3 linked regions of the Caenorhabditis elegans genome follow. Each later gene encodes a partner of the first gene's protein in a complex. Each region holds a gene or a part of one and is shown in the gene's direction. Other genes may lie near its edges. The genes, in order: dis-3, crn-5 and exos-2.

What was found.
Region 2: dis-3 (region 1) and crn-5 share a complex: the UniProt entries of both Caenorhabditis elegans proteins name them as parts of the RNA exosome complex.
Region 3: dis-3 (region 1) and exos-2 share a complex: the UniProt entries of both Caenorhabditis elegans proteins name them as parts of the RNA exosome complex.

The regions. Positions count from the first base shown.
Region 1 is NC_003282.8:10,095,368-10,100,206, forward strand, and holds the start of dis-3 (putative exosome complex exonuclease RRP44), read left to right. Parts: upstream 1-1,834; 5' UTR 1,835-1,840; coding exon 1,841-1,927; intron 1,928-1,974; coding exon 1,975-2,171; intron 2,172-2,344; coding exon 2,345-2,660; intron 2,661-2,978; coding exon 2,979-3,219; intron 3,220-3,442; coding exon 3,443-3,881; intron 3,882-3,938; coding exon 3,939-4,240; intron 4,241-4,358; coding exon 4,359-4,759; intron 4,760-4,839. Other genes in the region: msp-36 (Major sperm protein 10/36/56/76), read left to right, coding at 66-449. UniProt on the Caenorhabditis elegans protein: Putative catalytic component of the RNA exosome complex which has 3'->5' exoribonuclease activity and participates in a multitude of cellular RNA processing and degradation events. Has both 3'-5' exonuclease and endonuclease activities.
Region 2 is NC_003280.10:10,591,166-10,594,108, forward strand, and holds crn-5 (Exosome complex component RRP46 homolog), read left to right. Parts: upstream 1-1,586; 5' UTR 1,587-1,596; coding exon 1,597-1,800; intron 1,801-1,846; coding exon 1,847-2,013; intron 2,014-2,060; coding exon 2,061-2,334; 3' UTR 2,335-2,426; downstream 2,427-2,943. Other genes in the region: crn-3 (Exosome complex component 10 homolog), read left to right, coding at 235-538, 1,260-1,393; C14A4.6 (MARVEL domain-containing protein), read right to left, coding at 2,486-2,532, 2,579-2,768, 2,826-2,943. UniProt on the Caenorhabditis elegans protein: Non-catalytic component of the RNA exosome complex which has 3'->5' exoribonuclease activity and participates in a multitude of cellular RNA processing and degradation events. Involved in apoptotic DNA degradation.
Region 3 is NC_003282.8:6,413,701-6,418,022, forward strand, and holds exos-2 (Exosome complex component RRP4 homolog), read left to right. Parts: upstream 1-1,777; 5' UTR 1,778-1,802; coding exon 1,803-1,942; intron 1,943-2,003; coding exon 2,004-2,172; intron 2,173-2,217; coding exon 2,218-2,445; exon of another isoform or gene 2,446-2,552; coding exon of another isoform or gene 2,553-2,753; intron 2,754-2,800; coding exon of another isoform or gene 2,801-2,917; exon of another isoform or gene 2,918-2,953; intron 2,954-3,027; coding exon 3,028-3,183; intron 3,184-3,377; coding exon 3,378-3,506; intron 3,507-3,553; coding exon 3,554-3,643; 3' UTR 3,644-3,760; downstream 3,761-4,322. Other genes in the region: Y73B6BL.22 (Nitrogen regulatory IIA protein), read right to left, coding at 2,553-2,753, 2,801-2,917. UniProt on the Caenorhabditis elegans protein: Non-catalytic component of the RNA exosome complex which has 3'->5' exoribonuclease activity and participates in a multitude of cellular RNA processing and degradation events. Involved in regulation of antisense ribosomal siRNA production.

The DNA.
Region 1 (4,839 bases):
CTATAAATTGAGAATATTTTGCCATAATCTTCATAGAGTTTTCATAACTCCTTCATCGAACGACCATGGCCCAATCCGTCCCACCAGGAGACATCCAAACCCAACCAAACGCGAAGATCGTCTTTAATGCTCCATACGATGACAAGCACACCTATCACATCAAGGTGATCAACTCATCGGCTCGTCGTATTGGATATGGTATCAAGACCACCAATATGAAGAGACTTGGAGTTGATCCACCATGTGGAGTTCTCGATCCAAAGGAAGCTGTGCTTCTTGCTGTTTCCTGCGATGCTTTCGCCTTCGGACAAGAGGATACCAACAACGACCGTATCACTGTTGAGTGGACCAACACCCCGGATGGAGCTGCCAAGCAATTCCGTCGTGAATGGTTCCAGGGAGACGGTATGGTTCGTCGCAAGAACCTTCCAATCGAGTACAATCCATAGGATGTGTGAACTGGGTTTCTTAACAATAAACTTTTTTCAAGTATATGTTCTGTTTTTCTGTTTTAATCTGCAAATTGAATATATATTAATACTCAAGCGAACAAGTTTTGTGTTCCATCGATGCCCTTAACATAAGCATCCGGGATTTATTGTAAATCGTTTGGAACTATAGTAATCCTACCTTAATCTTCCAGTAGTCATTCAGTTCAGAAGACTACCCAACCATACTACTAACCCAGCCCATCTCTCCAAAACCTGAAAGCTGTTTTGCTCCGTAAAGGTCGAGGAGGGTGTATTTTTCTTACAAATCAAAGAAATTAACAAGTGAACCGATCACAACTTTTTTTGCTGATATGAGAGAAAAATACTTTATTGATTGGTTCGAGTAAATTTTCGAATTTTCGAAAAAGGAAAGATCCCTGGTATATAATGTCTCAGCTCTGCTATGTATTTTTCTATTTGAAATTCCGAATTCAAATTTTCTCTAGATGAAAGCCTTGGTATTGAATTCTATGCTGGGTTTAGTAAATTTTCGAATTTTCGATAAAAATTATATAATGAAGAAAAATATCCAAATTGGAGGTATTTTAATTTTAGAATACGGGAACGAAGAAGATCAAGATCACATACAAAGTTTAATGGATCTGAAGACATTTCAATTTATCTGGGTAGAACCAATTCTTCAACTCCAAATTCTACAGTAACCGATTCTTAAACATCTTATGGAAGTCCATCGAGATATGTATTTCATTATCATGTTCTTACCCGTTTTTTTTCAATAATGAGATTCTATATTTCGCTTAATGTTTTTATTGTTCTTATTGCTTCCAAAAATTAACATTAAAACAATAAATATTTTGCATCTTGACAAATTTAACATTTTAAAGTCTGGTCAGATTTCATCCTTGAGGACAGTGCTGTGTCTACATACATGAAAAAAAATCAAAAAGTGGCGATTATTTAGTTTCATCCGCATTAAATTTTGTAAGACAAAAAAGTTTGGCAATTTACCAAATCTATGACTGAAAAATTTTCAAAAATCTAAAAACGTTTTGAGCATTATTTTTTAAGGTTATGAGGCCCTAGATAATCATGTTTCCTACCCGATTATCTATTTTAGATGTTTAAACTTCCGTTTTCATGATTTTAGCCATACTCTATTTAGATATATTCTTCCTTTTCATTTCATTTTTCCTCGCAGCTGCGATGGCAGTGTTGTTCGAAGTGTTCGTTTTCGTAGTGCCTACGACACTCCGATGTTCCACTCGCGCGTGTTGTTCACCGTAAATGTACACTGAGTTTTTCTTCGAATAAAATAGTTTTTCCTTCATTTTTCACCTGATTCGTGCGATTTTATTTGTTTTTCACACGTATTTTCATTATTTGAAGGTATGGATTTGAACGTCAAACAAAGTGGAATTCATTCCGTCGCTTTGCACACGACTTACTTCCAAAATCGCTCGGGGAAAGTCTATAAAGTGAGAAAACCTCTCCGAAATCACCTAACCCAATTAAAATTTTGCAGAGAGCCGAAGAAAGATATCTACGAAATGATCTTTCATGTGGACTTGCTCAATGTGGAACCTGCAAGGATTTCGGCACAAATCCGCTGTTAAAAATTGAAAATCCCGTAAGAAATGCGAAAGTTGGAAGGCACGCGCTGATTGTGGATTCCACATCATTAATCAGATTCTACGATTTGTTTGATTCGTCTTTATTGAGGTAATGAATTAAAATTACAGCGGAATCATTTAAATGTAGATGGTTCTACTGTCCAATTATTAAATTCTTAATTTGTTGCTCCAAATTCAGTTTTTAGAAGTTGTCGGGATTGTAACAAACATCTAGTTTCAATTAAAAACTCTGTAAAATAATAAATTATATTTAATTTTCAGAGATCTCATCGTAACCCAGACTGTATGGGAAGGAGTCAAAGCAAAAGCTGTACCAGCCTACAAGAAAATGAATTCTTTGTGTTATGAAGATGCGAAAGACAGATTTCACGTGTTCATGAACGAATTTCACTGCGAGACCTTCTCCGAATCATCGAAATTTGAGGATTTGAGTCGTGGCGAAGAGCTTCTACTTTCAACAGCTCTTTACTTGAAAACTCATTGGCAGAAGCATAACGTGGCTCCTGTTGTCTTAGTTTTTGATGAAGATTCGAAAAAAAGAATGGAAAATCACTACCAACACGTGATGTATTTAAAGGTTAATAGTCGAAAAGTTCAAAACTCTGTGGATCTTTTCTGAAACTGGCGAAATTTCGAAAAAGAGCCAAATTTTGTTAAAAGAAAATTTTTGATTTCTTAAGACTCATAATGAAATTCTGTCGTTCCGAGCTAGTTTCAGACTATTTCAGCCAAAAACCCTAAAATATACACCTCTTTAACATATTTTCGCCGTAACTAAACTTTTATTCAACTAAAAATCATGATCCTTAATCAAAAATTGTATAATAAAGTACAATAAAGTTTGAAAAATGATCCAGTAACCCCGTAGAAAAAGAAAAAATCTCCAAATTTTCAGGAATACATACAAAATTTGGAGGATCCAGGAAAACAAGCACTTTTGGATCAAATGGCTGCGTATGAAAGCTCTGGAAATGGAAATGAGAAACAAATTTTCGATGAATATCTATCGCATGATAGAATTATGGAGGGAATTGCCAGTGGAACGATCAAAAGAGGAAATTTCAGTGTTTCAAGAGAAAATTATCGCGAAGCTACTGTTATTATTGATGATCAGTTAACATCTTGGTTCATCACAGGTGCTTGAATTTAGTTGAAATATTTATTTTCGAAAACCAACCAAATTTTTCACACAAGTCATTACTTTTTGCTGAGAATTTTAAAAAAACTTTTTTATAACGAAATTAGGTGGTTTTCGGTCATTTTGAGCGAAACAACTCTGAAATTATATTTTTAAAAAAGGTGAAATTTTTCCAAAAATTCCAATTCTCTGAATAATAAAATTTTTATTTCGAATTTTAGGAAATAATTGCAATCGTGCCGTCAATGGAGATACCGTCGCAGTTCAACTTTTGCCAGAAGACCAATGGACTGCTCCAGAGAAGAAAATTCGACTCCGTGACGTTGAAGAATATGTTAAAACTGCAGATGACATGGGAAATGAAGACGAGGAGAATGATGACGAGAACGATGAGCCAAAAGCTAAAAAGTCGAAGAAAATGACTGTTTCAACTGCAAAAGTTGTTGGAATTATCAAAAGAAATTGGCGTGAATATTGTGGAATGTTGCTGCCAAGTACAGTGAAAGGAGCCAGAAGACACTTGTTCTGTCCAGCTGAACGACTTATTCCAAGAATTCGAATCGAGACGGAACAGGCTGAAACTTTATCACAGCAGAGAATTGTGGTGGCTATTGATCACTGGCCAAGAGATTCCAAGTATCCACTTGGACATTACGTCAGGTATGTGAAATTTCAGAAAATCTTGAAATATTTTAACGGAATGACTGTTGTTTTCAGATCAATCGGAGAGATGGGATCCCGTGAAACTGAAAATGAGGTTCTCCTTCTCGAACATGATATTCCACATGCTCCATTCTCAGAATCTGTTCTTGATTGTCTACCACGTGAAGAATGGGAACCAGATCTCACTGAAAACCGCGGCCCTCTACCACGTGTTGATTTGAGAGATTTAACAATTTGTTCAGTTGATCCACTTGGATGTACAGATATTGACGACGCATTACACTGTAAACAAATTGGAGAGGATCTTTTCGAAGTTGGAGTTCATATTGCAGATGTCACGCATTTTGTTAGACCAGGTAAATATACTGAAATTATTTAAAAATTCAAGTTTTACTAAAAAAAATGTTTGTCCTTTGAGGTTCGAATAAAACCTCATTTATTTTCAAAAAAAGAACCAAAATTTCCTACGTTTAGGAACCGCAATCGACGATGAAGCAGCATTACGTGGAACTACAGTATACCTTTGTGATCGTCGTATCGATATGCTTCCATGTCTGCTCAGTTCCAATTTGTGCTCACTTCGCGGAGAAGAAGAGCGTTATGCATTTTCGTGTATTTGGACAATGACTTCTAGTGCTGATATACAATCAGTTAAATATCACAAATCTCTAATTAAATCAAAAGCTGCATTGACTTATGAGAAGGCACAAGAGATTATTGACGATCCAAAAGAGCAGAATGACGTGGCATTGGGATTACGTGGATTGATGAAATTGTCGAAAGTTTTGAATGCGAGAAGAACTGGAAATGGAGCATTGACGTTGGCATCGAGTGAAGTTCGCTTTGATATGGATTGGGAGTCCAGAACACCAAAGGTTTAAAATTTAAAAAATATTACAAAAAAAAAAGTTATATTCAAATTCAAAGAAGAAATATATTTTATACAACAGAGCGA
Region 2 (2,943 bases), on another chromosome or scaffold:
CTGAAAAAAATTTAGTAAAAAAACTTTAAAAAAAAATTATCTGAAAAAATCACTAAAATCTTTTTTTAATTTTCTCTGAAAAAATAAATAAAAATGAATTTTTTTTCGATTTTCTCTGAAAAAATCAGAAAATAAAACTTCTTTTTTTTCGATTTTCTCAAAAAAAAAATAAATGAAAAAAAATATATTTAAAAATTCCGATGACATCCTTGGTTTTAATAAGATAATTTTCAGCTTCTAAACGTTGATACACTGAAGCTGGTCCCAGATGATCCGAACAAGCCGAAAGATCCAGAACCTTCACCAATGGAAGAATCTTCATCGGAACCTCAAATCTTCGATCCATCTCGTTTTACCGACGACCAGCTACTGTCAAAGAAGGCAATGAAAAGAAAGAGAGATGCTGCTCGACGAAATATAGATGTTTCTGTTGTGCTCGGCGAGTCGTCGAGTAGTTCAGATCCAAAAAAGAAAAAATCTGATGATGATGCTCCCGTTGAAGATTTTGATTATGAAAAAGCTGATAGTAGTGCATTTGGTAAGTTATATTCCTTTGAATTATCCAGACGCGAGATTTAAGGCTAAAAATACGGTACCAGGTCGCGACAACTTGCAAAATGGTGTGCGCCTTTGAAGAGTACTGTAGTTTCAAATTTTCGTTACTGGGAAATTTTCTTCGGTTTTATTTTAGTTTTTTAATAAATAAATTTAAAACTAAAAAAAATTCCGCAGCAACAAAAGTTTGAAATTACAGTACTCTTTAAAGGAGCACACCAGGGCTGGGACAAAAAATATTTTTGAACAAAAAACCAAAATTGAAATTTACGAATTTGCGAAAAACGAACAAAAACCAAAAAAAGTTGATGCTTGAATTTATTTTTCAAAAAAATCGTGAATATGTGAAAATGTATTGGTTTTTCAAAAAATATTTTTGTTGGTCTGAAAAAAAAAACAAAAAAATCAATTTTTCGTCAAAATACAAGAAATATTTCAATTTTTGTTGAATTCCAACAAAAAAACCCAAAAAAAAATCAATGTTATTCGTCGAAGTGCCAATAAAAGCTATTAAAAAACCCAAAAAAAAAAATTCAAAATACCAAAAAAAAACACCAAAAAATCAATTTTTCGTTAAATTCCAAAAAGAACCGCAAATTTGCAAAAAAAAAACGTTTTCTGGCTCAAAATTTGGATAATACCGTACCCAATTATATAGCTCTCAAAAAAGTCTCGAAATCAAATTCCTAATAAATTATTTCCAGAAAAACCTGTTCGAGACAACAACGCCGATTTCGATCCATTCCATCAAAAATATCGATTGAAGAACAAGACAAAGAAGAATATGGCTATGAAAAAATCATCGAATCGACAAGGAACCATCAACTACAAAAAATGATTAAATTGTTACATCCCATCCCATTACCATTGTTATTTTACTTTTTGTTGTTGTGCTTTTTCTTTTGCTTTGAAATTAAAGAAAACTGTTTTTGAAATCTTTTTATTTATTTATTTTTAATTCAATTTGGTTTTCCACCAATTTCAGTTATATTTTCTACAAAATTCATTTTTGTGATTAATTTTGATTTCAGATATCCCCAAATGGCCGGCAGACTTCGTGAAATGCGTTGTGAGCTCTCGTTCCTCAAAAACGCGGATGGCTCGGCATGCTTCTCCCAGGGTGCCACGTGTATTTGGGCTTCATGCAGTGGTCCTGGAGATGTTCACGCTTCGAAAGCAAGTGATGAGGCTATGACTCTGGATATTAGTTATAGAGCAAATTGTGGAGATAACAAGTTCAATGTGGTAGGGGTTTTTGTAGAAATTACTTTTGGAATAATTCTTTTTTCAGCTGAACAATATCATTCATTCTACTCTATCCAATGCAATCAATCTCGAATTGTTTCCCCACACAACAATTTCTGTCACAGTACATGGAATTCAGGATGATGGAAGTATGGGAGCTGTAGCGATAAATGGAGCTTGTTTTGCTCTACTTGACAATGGAATGCCATTCGAGTAAGTTTTTTTAGATACTGTTTTAAAACTGTAATATAATTTTTCAGAACAGTCTTCTGTGGTGTCCTTATTGTTCGTGTCAAAGATGAGCTGATTATTGATCCGACAGCAAAACAAGAAGCTGCATCGACTGGAAGAGTGCTCTTTTCAGTGTGCAAAGGATCCGATGGACATCCAGAAGTGTGTGCGATGGACGCTATAGGACATTGGGATTTTATTCAGCTGGAAGCCGCGTGGTCATTGGCACAACCATCTGCCAGTGCTATTTTTGATTTCTACAAAACTGTGATGAAGAGGAAGCTTTCGGTTGATGAGCAATAGATTATCAATGTTTTGTTGTTGTCGTTGTTGATTTTAATTTTTTATTTAATTTTGAATCCATTGTTTTGTGAGATATTAAAATCTTAAATTTCAAAGTCGAAGTTTTTGTAGAAATGTGACAAGAGAAGGTATTTAGGTATTTAAGAATAGGTTAAGCTTCAGATCCATAATTTGAATATTCGTAGACTCCAGCCGGATCTGAAATAAAAATGGTGAATTTTCAAAATAAGAAAAAAAATCTCACTCAAATGATGTGATCCATTATTCCATCTTCGAACATTTACAACCAGATTGAACACGTGGATGAGTGCAATAATAAAACAAAAAATTGCGACCACCAAAAATCCGAAATCATCAGTCACTTCTTCACTACTAATCGATATTGCCATGGAGATAACATAGCAAATAATTGCAAGAATCGATCCAATACATTCCTAGAAATTCAAATTTCCGTGTAGTTTCACGTGTGCCCCATCGATGCCCGAACTTACAATTGCTGCATACGGTAGCATTCGAATCGCCATTATTGAGATATCGTACTCCTTGAGAAGTACTGCAATTGTGCAAATATCGAAGACGATGGAGCATCCAATTGTGAACCAAATTACT
Region 3 (4,322 bases), 3.7 Mb from region 1:
AATCAACGCAAAAAAATATAAAAGATTCTGTAAGAAATTTCTTTAAAATATTAATTTCAAATTCGCCGCGATTTGCGAAGTCAATGGAGGAGTACGGTAGGCGTGTGAAAATGACGGAAGATGAGTGAAAAGAAGTATATTCAAATAATTAATGAAAGCTTTTGATCTGTCCATTTGTCATCGAAAAACACCCGTCCGTCCACCCACATTTTTCGCCGAATTTTTGTGGGAAATTAAGGGCTCTGATAATGCAAATTATGGATAATTTTGTATAAAGTTTTCTAGACATTGGTTAGCGATTTTAAAACTACGAAAAAATGAAATGACAAAATAAATAAGTACTTGCACCTGACTATCATACTTTAACAGCTCATATCTCAATTCATTCAAAACAGTTTACAAACTGTAAAATTGATAAATTTTAGAAAATTAAATAATCAATAAGTTGCCAGTTGACAGTTGTTCAAAAATTTAAAGACAACCAAGTTATAACTTCTAAAATTAATCAATGCCTCGATGTATTAGATACAATATTTTGAAAACATTGTTTTCGATGAACCACAATTTTGTAAATAGTGTATCAGAAACAGTGTTTTTTTTTTTCGATTTTTTACAAATTTTTCTGGGAGCTTTTGTAAGACTCCTACTACTATTTTTATGGGAAATTTTAGAAAAGTAAATAGTCAATTAGTTGTCAGTTAACAATTTTTGATATAAAACAAAAAATAAAAAATGAGCTTCGAATATGGAGCAAGTGTACAACTGCTAGAAAAATATGTGGACCTTTCTTTTGCGACACATTCTTTTTAGGAAATTTGCACTGTTCTGTGAAAGATTTCAATCTGAAATATGAATAGAACAGAAGAAATAATATTGATTTTCCTGAAATTAACCGAATGTTTAGTTGAAGTTCTTGAGAAGTTGTTCAAATACTGGCTCAATTACAATATTCCGGGTACATATGCATTTTTAATAACTTTTAACGAAATTTAAGAATAATATCAAAAATATGTTTCAATACTTCTCATAAAACTCTCAATCAAAATAAGAAATACCAATTCGAAAATTCGAACATTGTTAATCAGAAAATGGTAACTTTATAAATGTTTTTTCAGAAACATTGATTTTTTTTCAATTTTTTCAAAATTTCAAAACTTTTTTCTAAGAGTTCCACATGACCGTCTACCGTCTGAAAATGTTTTTTTTTTAATTTTTAGATGGAGAAGAATACTTTTACAGTCAACCTAAATAAAAAAGAGTACATAAACCCGCAAAATCGGAATCTAGGAAATATTTAAAAATCGCACAATAAACCACCAAAGTTTTGAAAATTTTTCCTTTACGATTTTTACTTCTGTTTTAAATACTCAGTTTTTCTCCAATATATTTCTACGTATCCTCTTTTGTTGTATTTTTCCCGTTCGCATGCAAGTCGAAATTATAGGTGTCCCATTCAACTCACACTTCCTTCCAATGACACCTTTATAAAAAGTCAGACAATGGCTTCGTGTCGAACCTTATTTTTATTTCAATTTCGGGTTTTCATCGTCATTGGTTTAGCAGAAACAATTAAATTTGCACGCTCAATTGGCTCGCACTTTTATGGTCGAAAATCAACATTTGAATAGGCGCCAATTGAGTGACGTGTGGGTTTACGATAAACAGCACGCTTTCCGTCATTTCGGAGTGTCGTTGGAAATAATTATTTTTATTTTCATTTCGAATGAAAGCTTTTTTCAGTTTCTTTGTTTAATTTAAGTTTATTTAAATTTGGTTATTTGCAGACAAAAAAAATTTAAAAAATGAGTTTCGAAGTCACCGGTCCACCCCTCGTATCACCATGGATGATGTTATCAATGTCCGAAGCAAGAAATGATATTGATGAGACAAAAATTGTTATTCCAGGACATTCAGTTTGTGATGCACCGCAACAGTTTATGAGGTATGTATATTGTAAAATACTGTTATATCTTTTTGAAAAATGAAAAAATTAAGATTTTCAGAGGACATGGAACTTACGTTCGCGACGGAGAAATCGTCAGTTCTCTCTCTGGAGTCGTTCAACAATTAAATCGACTGTTGATGGTTAAAACTATTAAACAACGATATGCTGGTGAAGTCGGAGATGTTGTAGTTGCCCGTGTCGTGGAGGTTCAAGCAAAACGGTGGAAGGTTTCAAATTTTTAAGTGAAAAATATAACGATAATTGTTTTTCAGTGTGATGTGGCATCTCGTCTTCATGCAAATCTTCCACTAGGTTCAGTTCTCCTGCCAGGAGGAGACTTTCGCAGAAAAGATGTAGAAGATGAGGAGAAAATGAGCGAATTCTTGAAAAACGGAGAACTGATCTGTGCAGAAGTCCAACAAGTCCAGCACGACGGAACACTTATGCTACACACAAGAAATAATAAGTACGGAAAATTGCAACAAGGAATATTGATTAAGGTAATATTTTATAAAATCTTAAGAAAACGCAATTATAAATTTTTAAATAATAGTTCGGAAAGTTGTTATATTTCTTTAAATTCATCATCCAATTGATTCCAATTAGCTCACGTACGGCGTCTTGCTCTAAAAGCCTCAGAAGTTTTATTCAATTCTCGATCTCTGTACTCAATCACAGGATCTTGATCCTTCTTTGCAGTTGGATGCAGTTCAACAGTCTCGACGCCATAACGAAGAATACAAAAAATTACAAGCAACGCAGCAATGAGAATCCATTGTGTATAAGCACGCCATTCGGGAATTGGGCTCTTTAATAATAATTTTCTATTTCAAAAAAAATTAATGAAAAGCTAACCTCCGTGATAACCATATTTGCACGTTCATCGAGTCGGTAGATCATTGAATCGAGCACTTTTGTACGAATATCCTCCGCCTTTTCAAAGTGTTGAGTTTTCTCATTCTTATGCGACATCTCGTTCAAAGCAATATTTCTTTTTTGTTTATGCTGCCAAAATAAATAAAGCGACAAAAAAATCCACAAAATGAGTGGGAAGTCACGGAATTAATTTCTTTTTTTTGCAGGTTCCTCCACATTTGATCAAAAAGTCCAAGAAACATTTTCACACGTTACCCTACGGAATGGCTGTGATTATTGGCTGCAACGGAAGTGTGTGGGTCACGCCGTCGTTGCCGGAGACCACACTTGAAGAGGATGGATCACATGTTCACGAGTTTCAGGTGTGATAGTGATTCTTGAGAAAAATGAATCGAAAATAACAATTAGCGCACATATTTGGTGACTCAACAACGAGAAATTATAATAATTCCAATGATTGACGAGACCTTATAATTTATTCATCATACTCGTGATCATCATAATCGAAAAGAAAAACAAAAAAATTTGGCTTTTTTCGCAATAAAATAAATTTCAGATTGTACCTCCCGACGTACGCGTAACTATGGTCAGAATCGCTGCCTGTGTTCGTCTTCTTCGTGATTATTCCATCTCGATCTACCTCAATTCACTGACAACATGCTATGAAATGAGTCAGCCTTATGAAGTATCGATTGTTTCTTCAGTTTTAAAAAATTAGAAAAATAATTTCAGATCAAAGAGCTCGCCGAGCAAGACACGTCTTCTCGACTCGCCTACCTGATTGCTGCACGGCTTCTACAGGAACTTCAACAGCAGAAGTAATTCTAATTGTTTTGAATGATCTCTCCCTATTTAAAATTTACCTTTTTTGTTGCTGTTATTTCTTGTTGAGTTTCTTATTTACCATTTCAATTAAATAAAACTTTTTACTTTTTCGGATGATATTAGCTGCGATACAAAATCTGAAAGTTTCGAAAGAAATGGTCCATACCCTGAAATTAAACGATCGACCCGTAATCTTTGCAAACCCAAGGTCGCACAGAAATTTTTTTGATCTAGGAATTGTTTCAATTGAACTCCACATTCTAACTTAATGACCGAACAATTTCAGTGAATATACTTCGATTCACACTATCCGCTTTTCAATCCACCAAGTGAGAATCGAGACGATTTTCTGGAAAGTGTTTATTGTGATTCAAAAAAAACCAGGAAGAATTGAAACATTGACCAGAGGAAAACAACAAAAAGGAAAAGAGAGAGCAGGCATGGGACAGACATTCAGTGAAAGCTCAAAAATTATGCTGCTAATTAGCAGACTTCTAACCTAAAAGGATGCATATGAGGTGTTGGGCACAGTAAAAATGGGAAAATATAACAAAGGATCGAATGGTAAACGAGGATCGGATGAACGTTTCATAGAAAACAATGTGAAGTTAATTCGAACTTCTAATTCTCGATGGTGAATAACTTTCGATCATATTATGGATTAATAATGGGAAAA